Zea mays: one gene and its partner. Each later gene encodes a partner of the first gene's protein in a complex. Links are inferred from orthologs where the notes say so. Each region holds a gene or a part of one and is shown in the gene's direction. Other genes may lie near its edges.

Region 1 (3,750 bases):
TTCCAAGATCCAGTACAAGGTTGTTGCTGTTAGGCCGCTCAGGTTTGTTGAATGCCGGTGTCGCGCTCGTGCTACAGAACCAAAAGATCCAGTACAAGGTTTGCTGAACTCATGCTCTGTACGATCTGCTCTGTGCTCTGTACGATCTGCTCTGTGCTCTATACTTTCTCTTGCAACTATGGATTCAGTGTTGGTAATAGCTAGTTAGTTAACTGTAAACCAGTGGGGAAAGTGGCATGGGGTATCTTTGTTGCTGTTGGTGTCTCTGAGCATATAGAATTGCGGAATAGATGTCTCTGGGCATATAGATCTATCAAATAGTTGCCGAAGAGGGATGAGGGTGATTAATTAGTGATCAATTGTTTGTCTCGTTAGTACTTGCCATGGTTGTTCAATGTTTCCTTATCTATTGTCTCATTGTTTGTGCTGATGCTAGTACTTTTGATTTTGATAATTTTATATTTCTTTCAAATGATAATTGTAACTTTAGTTTGTTCTAATTTATATAGGTATAAACCATTTTGCTGTGGCATATTGATTCAGCTGGTTAAATTTTACAAGTGTATGATGTTTACCTGCATAGCCTTGTTCAAAATCTTTGCGAGAACATTCGGTATTGTCTCGAACAGAAATGCTTGTCATGCCTTTTGCTATGATTATGTGTTGCTTATGTAGTTTCTCGATTTCTCTAGATATGGGTTATTGGGAAGAGCTAGCTATACAGTTTTTGTTGGAGGAAGAAGAAGACAATGCAGAGTTTTTCTTTATTCTTCTCCCTGCTGTACTTCCATTCCTCTCTAAAAAGAAAAGGTCTATCCATACCTCCTCTCTCTGGTGCCTAGAAGGTTAAGGAGATTCTCGAAGGGCATGAGAGTTGGTGCAAGTCGAGTTTCGAATGAAGCCAGAAATATTTAGAGCCACATCAGATTTCCTTAGAAGAGAGGGTTTGTTACGTGACACATGAGGAGTTAACGTCGAAGAGCAGGTTGGGATGTTCATGTATATGATCTCCTATAATGCCAGTAACCAAATGCTTCAAAAGGCTTTCCAACACAGTGGAGAGACTATCAATCGAAAAATATCAGAAGTTTTCGATATAGTTTCCACCTATGATGCACGAATACTTCTCAAAATTTACGTATGATGTCGGATGCCGTATCAGATACGGATACTCCTCCGATACTTCCGGATACGTATCCGAGGCTATGAATTTAAATAAATAAAAAAAGACGGATACAATTGGACACGTGCGTGATACCCTGATTTCCCCTGCGCACTGCTTCTCCCCACGGCGCACGCGCACCATCTCCTGCGCGCCGCCAGTCCGGCTTCTCCTGGCTCCTGCGCGCCGCCAGCCGTCAGCCCGTCACCGATTGGAGATCCTTGGAAACCTGCGCGCCGCCAGCCCGTCACCGCTTGGAGACCCGCTCAGCCGCGCTTCCCTGCGCGCCGCCAGCCGTCGCCGATCCGTGGCCGCGTCCGCCGCCGCCAGCTCTGAGGTCGCGCCGTCAGCCAGCCCGTCTGCCGTCGTGAGGTACTGAGGTTTGTGATCTGCCGACATCTCCCATCTGCCCTGCCTGACGCTGTACTTGTCCGGTTGTCCCATTCTCTGTTCTTGTTAGATCCCAATATCCCATGGCAACGTGTGCATCTACCGATGCTAGCAGCATTAAATGTTCTTGGTACTAGTAAATCCATGATTAACTTATTAAGATTACTATGGCATTGATCCATTTCAGACATTTCAACATTTAATTTTATTTATAATATATATTGCGTATCGCCGTATCCGTATTTTTTGAGAAATGGCGTATCGGGGTATCGGCGTATCGCGTATCCGTATCTGTATCCCCGTATCAGGGCAACATAGGTTCCCACTCTAACTCAGCGGTCCGTGAAGCTTCCCAATTCTATCCAGACACATCAAAAAATTATAACAGATTCTAGGTTCATGTCCTTTTTTCAGGTGACCTATCAATAAACATGATTTCCTTAGTTTTTCCCTTTAACATGCCCTAAACTTCCTCTCCTTTTATACAGAATTGCACTCTGAGACCAAAGGAAAACCCCCAAATCGAAGCTATGGCTCCCAACTCACCAAATAGATCCTCGCGACCAGCTAGAATTTTTGAGGCACCCACCACCCGCTGGGCGGAGGAACGAGGGGGAAGAACCGGTCGTCGGCCCAACCGTGCAGATCTGGCCGAAAGGTCATGCTTGCGGAGAGCGGATGGCTGGCCCTGCCCTAGGGCCCTCGCTGGCCTCCGTGACGCCAGGCTCTGCCGCATATGGGTGGGGGTTGACTGCGAGCGGTGAGGGGCGGCTGCGGCGACCTCGTGGATGGGCATTGCGGCTGGCTGTGGAAGGGCATCATAGTTTAGGGGTGGCGTCGAGGCCGAGACCGATGGAAGAGCCGATCTCAGATGGGTCACGGGGTGGCGGTATCAAGGACGGGGGCGAGGTACTGGGCCACGCGAGGTGGTGGCGTGGAGGGAGGGGATCAATCGTGGGCTAGGGGGCAGCGGGTTTCCGAGGGAGCTAGGGGGGGGGGGGCACAAGGAGGACATGAGTGGGGGCATGGTTGTGCATGTGGTCTACACTATTGACTTAATAGATAGTAGAGATATGCAATAACCGTATATACAAAGAAGTTCCACTATTAATTGGAATTGACAAACTGTATAATGATTATTCAATATTAAAGAAAGAGATGATGTTATACCTTATGAGATTATTCATCAATATTAAAGAAAGGACTTACTAGTCCCGGTGCTTTGCTTCTGCAGTTTGAACCTGGAAGCAAAATGCACTGCTTGGCCTGTAAACACGAAGCTATTATAGATGGAAAGAGAGCCATTCCTGCTTGACATGTTACAACACTTGGGTTTTGGTCGAAGCTGGTGCAACCTTATTAGTCTGTTGCTTTGCACTTCCTCTACACGGATCCTTGTCAATGGCGAGCCTAGGGAATACATTCTGCATCATAGGGGTCTTCGGCAAGGCGATCCTTTGTCCCCCATGCTGTTTATCCTTGTCATGGAGGCTTTGAATGCTATGGTCAGTTATGCTTTCAGGGAACATATGCTGCAGCCGATTGCAAATCAACATGCCAAACATTGTATCTCCTTCTATGCTGACGATGTTGTTTTGTTCATGCGGCCCTCTCATCAGGATATCTCAGCAATTATCAGCATTTTAGACATCTTTGGTCATGCTACTGGGTTAAAAACGAACATCTCCAAAAGTTCTGTTACACCCATTCAATGTGGAGCGAATGAGCTGACCACCATTTCTGCCTTGTTACCATGTGCTACAAAAAATTTTCCCTGCACTTACTTGGGGATTCCTCTATCAATCCGTAGGCTTGCTAACTCTGATCTCCTGCCGTTTGTTGATAAAGTTGCTGATAAACTTCCAGGATGGAAAGCTAATCTTCTCAGCCGGGCTGGTCGTCTTGTCATGGTTAAGACAGTGTTGTCTTCTGTCCCTATCTATCTTATGCTTGCTTTAGAACTACCTAAATGGGTTTTTAAGGCAATCGATAAGAGGAGACGAGGCTTTCTTTGGAAGGGGCAAGGTGATGCAAATGGAGGTAACTGTCTCGTGTCTTGGGAAGCTGTCCAGCGGCCTCTCAAGTATGGTGGTCTGGGTATTCTCAACCTGGAGATGTTTGGATGGGCCCTACGTGCCAGGTGGCTTTGGTTACAAAAGACTGACGCGTCAAGGCCATGGGCTGGTCTCCCTATCCGA
Region 2 (3,750 bases), on another chromosome or scaffold:
ACTAACGGGCAGAATGGAAGTACGCTGCTTTAAGCACAGGGCAAATCAAGACCAGCACAAAAGGAAGCATATTTTCCATAATATATAATATATTAATATAATGCAGGCTCGATTTGACAAGCTGTAAGCAAGAAGTGTACATTGTCTAAACTCGAGTCATTTTCTCCCGGCCCATTTGCTTCTGCAACATTATAAACTGAAGGTGATGAAGCATCATCTCCAAACTCTTTCTTATCCTGGAAAGAAAGATCAATCATTTAATCCCCGAATTACTGCAAGATTCTGGCTTCGTGTTTGATTCTAGATTTTATTAAGAGGTGCGTTTCTATACTCTTAGAGAAAAACTCAATGGGTCATGTGTGAGTTGCAAATGAGCAAATCCGAGCCTTGACTTATCAACCATGCAAATGATTTGGTTGCGCGGAAATGTGATACTTGGCACTTCAAAATGTAATGCGATACATTGCTCATACGAGGCTGCCGATTTCAAGAAGCTGAAGGAGGGGAAAGCTAGTATGTACCTCCTCGTCGCCATTGCCCTCGGGCTCGGTCTCAGTCGTCGCTTGGCACGCAACCTTTCGACTCCTCAGCCTTCATAAAAGGAGTGAAAACAAACTAATTAGATTAGCTTGCTCAGATGAATGTTCCCTTGGCACACGCAAAACCAAGAAAAGCAGCGGACCTGTGCCCGGTAATCGGGAGGCAGCGGAGCGCGAGCGTGATTCTGCTGGCGCGTCCCACGCACCCACTCCTCGCCGGCACGGTGGTAGAAGCGAGCAGGAGACAGTGGCAGCATCCGTACGCTGCGGCAGCCGCCTGCGGCGGCGGCAACAGCAAGGAAGTCATGGCGGGGCAGGCGACGGTGAGAGTGGCGGAGAGGAGAGCGCGCGCGGCGCGGTCTTATCCCATTCTCGGATTCTCCATCTCATTGAAGGGAAACAGAAATTCTTTTCTGCGGTGACGATTTCACGCTGCATCAATCGTAAAGCCTGGACCACTTATGTAGTTTTCTCCTTTGGCAGGGGCATTTTTGAAATTGGTCGTGAGCCGCTGCCGCACACGGCGAGAGGAATAGGGTTGCTCCCCCCGTTGCCGACTCGCCGCCGCATCGCCGCGAGCGTCATGAAGACCTTCCCGCTGTCCAGGGGAAGCACCATCTCCCTAGCCCTCTTCTCCGACGTCTCCAACAGCCGGTACGGACCTGCTTATGCATCCTTTCCTCTTCTAACATCGCCGCATGGGCCGCTGTGGCCGCCAATTGGACCTCGTCTGCTTTCCATCGATGAAATGCGCAGGGGATGGACTCGCTGAGATTCCTGGTTTTGATGTTCAGGGAGCTCCTGGACTTGATGCAGTCAGGGAAGCTGGAGCCGGCGGTCGCTCTCCTCAACGCGTCACTGGTTCGTTGCCATTTGCATGTTTGCATATGCTGCGCTGGTAGTTTCCTGAGTGTGTGCATCATAGTGTTTGTGGCTCGTTGTCCATGCTCGTGGATTTCAGGTGCCGGATGTGTTCCCTATCCTCGCGGCAGCGCTTAAGGCGCTGTTGTCCAAGACTAGGGAGTCACTGACCACAAGGACTCTGCACTCTGAGCTCGTCTACAACTACTCGGGGTCCAAACATGTGATTGATCTAGCTGCCGTTGGTGCTTTTGCATTACGAGTTGGTCCAGTACAGTGTTTGACAGTTTGTCTGTGATAATTGGTTTCAGATAACAGAGTCCCTGAAGCGCTGTGGGATCTCTGATAATACAACTTACATCCTTGCTGCTTGTTTTGATGCTTCCGACGAGGAGGTATGATTTATGATGATAGTTTCACTGAGTTACTGTTTGGATCCATCAATTGCATGCTATTCTGATAATTGACCGTGTGTTTGGTTCATAAATTTGTGACCTTGAGCTGGCTGATATTGGACGATAGTTGAAGTGTTAATGGATCCAGAGATCATGCTCTACAGTCTACACCAAATCAGATTTAAATGGATTTGCAATATGTTAATCACCCTGCTTAAAAATGAGTTACAAATTACCCCTCATGTGCTTCTACTTAATTCCTTACTACGAAAAATAAAACAGGAAGTGTTTCTACCATTCGTAATTTCTTGCTCCAGAAACCCGGTGCTACTACTTTACACTCTATTTACTGAGCCTTCAGTTGAGTGCTTATGGTATTGAGTTGAAAATTTTCAACTAACTTTGAGCTTCTATGTTTCTGAAGCTTTGTTTTATTCATTGCCATCTGTTACCATAGTTGCAAACACTTACACTTTTTAGATCGATAATAGTTCAAATGATTTCTCCCCTCTGTTTCAAAGATGCCGCTGAGGCATCCAGGCGACAACTTGCCTTGGCCCTTGGGGCCTAGTCACTCCTTGTCGCCTTTAAAACCATGGTTCTCCCTCTATTCTTGAAAATGTAAATAACTAAGGCCCTGTTTGGAAGCAACCTAGTTTTTAAGAATCCAGTTTCTAGAAACTGGTTTATAAAAAAAAACTAGTTAATGGTGTTTGGAACCACCTCAGTTTTCATAAACTGGTTTTAGCTAGAGGAGGCTAGCTTCTTGGTTTTTAAGAAACTGGGAATCTAGTTTCTATAAACTGGTATGTTTGGAACCACCTCAGTTTTCATAAACCAGTTTCTTAAAAACTGGGTGCTTCAAACAGGTCCTAAACAAAAAGGGAACAGTTTAAAAATCTTTTTTGCTTACAATTCATAACCGAGGTCTTCATAACACATGCACTCCTTTTTTTTCCTTGAACCATGTTCCCCATTTTTCATTTCATAAACGGAAACAGTTCAGGCATTGCAGAAGCAGGCTAAAAAACAGAACTAGGTTAGAACGGCGGGTAGCCATTGAGGTCTAGCTAAACCTGCGTCAGGAAACTAGAGCTAGTCCTATTAGACACAGTTTTGAACATGCATCAAGACTGCCTAACAAGTTCAGCAGACACCCGGCGGCAGACTTGAAACCCAGAAGAACTAAAGAAGCTTCAACTACTCACTGGTGCCATTGGTTTCTCCAGTCGTCTCTTGTTCAACTCCTGCCTCAGCACCAGTTATCTGTAGCAGCTGAGGTTGCGCACTTGAACCATCTTGGTCTGGAAGGCCACTCTTAGCAGAATTCTGACTCCCTCCAGCACGTTTTCTCCATGAAGCCATTCTTGTGTAAAAACCTGCCCAGCATACCAGATAAGAGAAAACAAGACAGAGTCTCACATGGGTGTTTGATCAACCTTTATTCGAACAGGCTGATTTCTCCTCCTAAGGGCTGGTTTGGTGGCCAGGAAATTTGGGGGATCCACGGGGGAGGAATTACTTTCTTATTCAATTTTGAATAGGAAGGGGATTCCTTCCCCATGGATCGTCTTCAATTCGGCAATTCACTGGTCACCAAATCAGTCCTAAGGCCTAGTTTGGAAACCAAAATCCCCTAGGGATCCTTGCATTTTCCTAGGGTGAGAAATCCTAGGGACATTATTTGTACAAGATATTTAGTTATATCGTAACGTGGCAGCTATGAAGGAAATTCTAATGTGAAAATCGTAACGTGGCAGATGAAGGCAGTGGAGAAGCTCATCAGTGGCACCGAGATTGATCTCACAGAACTGGAAAGAAGAGCAAACCAGCCACAGATCTTGAAGGTTTGCCATCGAACTTGATGTTAGCCATGTACCGTATAGTTCCTATAACCATCCATTCTGACTGAAGATCGTACTGGTCTTCCTTTATATTGGCAGCATTACAAGATA

Evidence for each region.
Region 2: the proteins of uncharacterized LOC100280033 (region 1) and uncharacterized protein LOC100280192 are in contact, whole or in part, in a cryo-EM structure (PDB 8K20), measured with the Arabidopsis thaliana proteins. The link is inferred for Zea mays from reciprocal best matches to the Arabidopsis thaliana genes AT5G26110 and AT4G34412. Residues at the interface, in NP_001331017.1 of Arabidopsis thaliana: Thr27, Phe28, Ala29, Arg31, Asn58, Ala61, Arg62, Thr65, Arg68, Lys69, Leu70, Gly71, Val72, Cys73, Val76, Leu77, Tyr78, Ala79, Val80, Asp81, Thr82, Leu83, Leu84, Gln151; in NP_680763.2 of Arabidopsis thaliana: Asp7, Phe51, Leu54, Ala55, Gln58, Ile62, Arg66, Lys147, Thr149, Gln151, Glu152, Ile155, Ser156, Asp160, Val163, Cys164, Ala167, Ala168, Asp170, Ala171, Leu172.

Annotation. Positions count from the first base shown.
Region 1 is NC_050100.1:34,850,991-34,854,740, forward strand, and holds the start of uncharacterized LOC100280033, read left to right. Parts: upstream 1-1,316; 5' UTR 1,317-1,542; intron 1,543-3,750.
Region 2 is NC_050098.1:19,279,782-19,283,531, reverse strand, and holds the start of uncharacterized protein LOC100280192, read left to right. Parts: upstream 1-1,026; 5' UTR 1,027-1,122; coding exon 1,123-1,193; intron 1,194-1,333; coding exon 1,334-1,400; intron 1,401-1,500; coding exon 1,501-1,623; intron 1,624-1,711; coding exon 1,712-1,795; intron 1,796-3,555; coding exon 3,556-3,642; intron 3,643-3,738; coding exon 3,739-3,750. Other genes in the region: Probable zinc metalloprotease EGY2, chloroplastic, read right to left, coding at 141-236, 522-591, 683-846.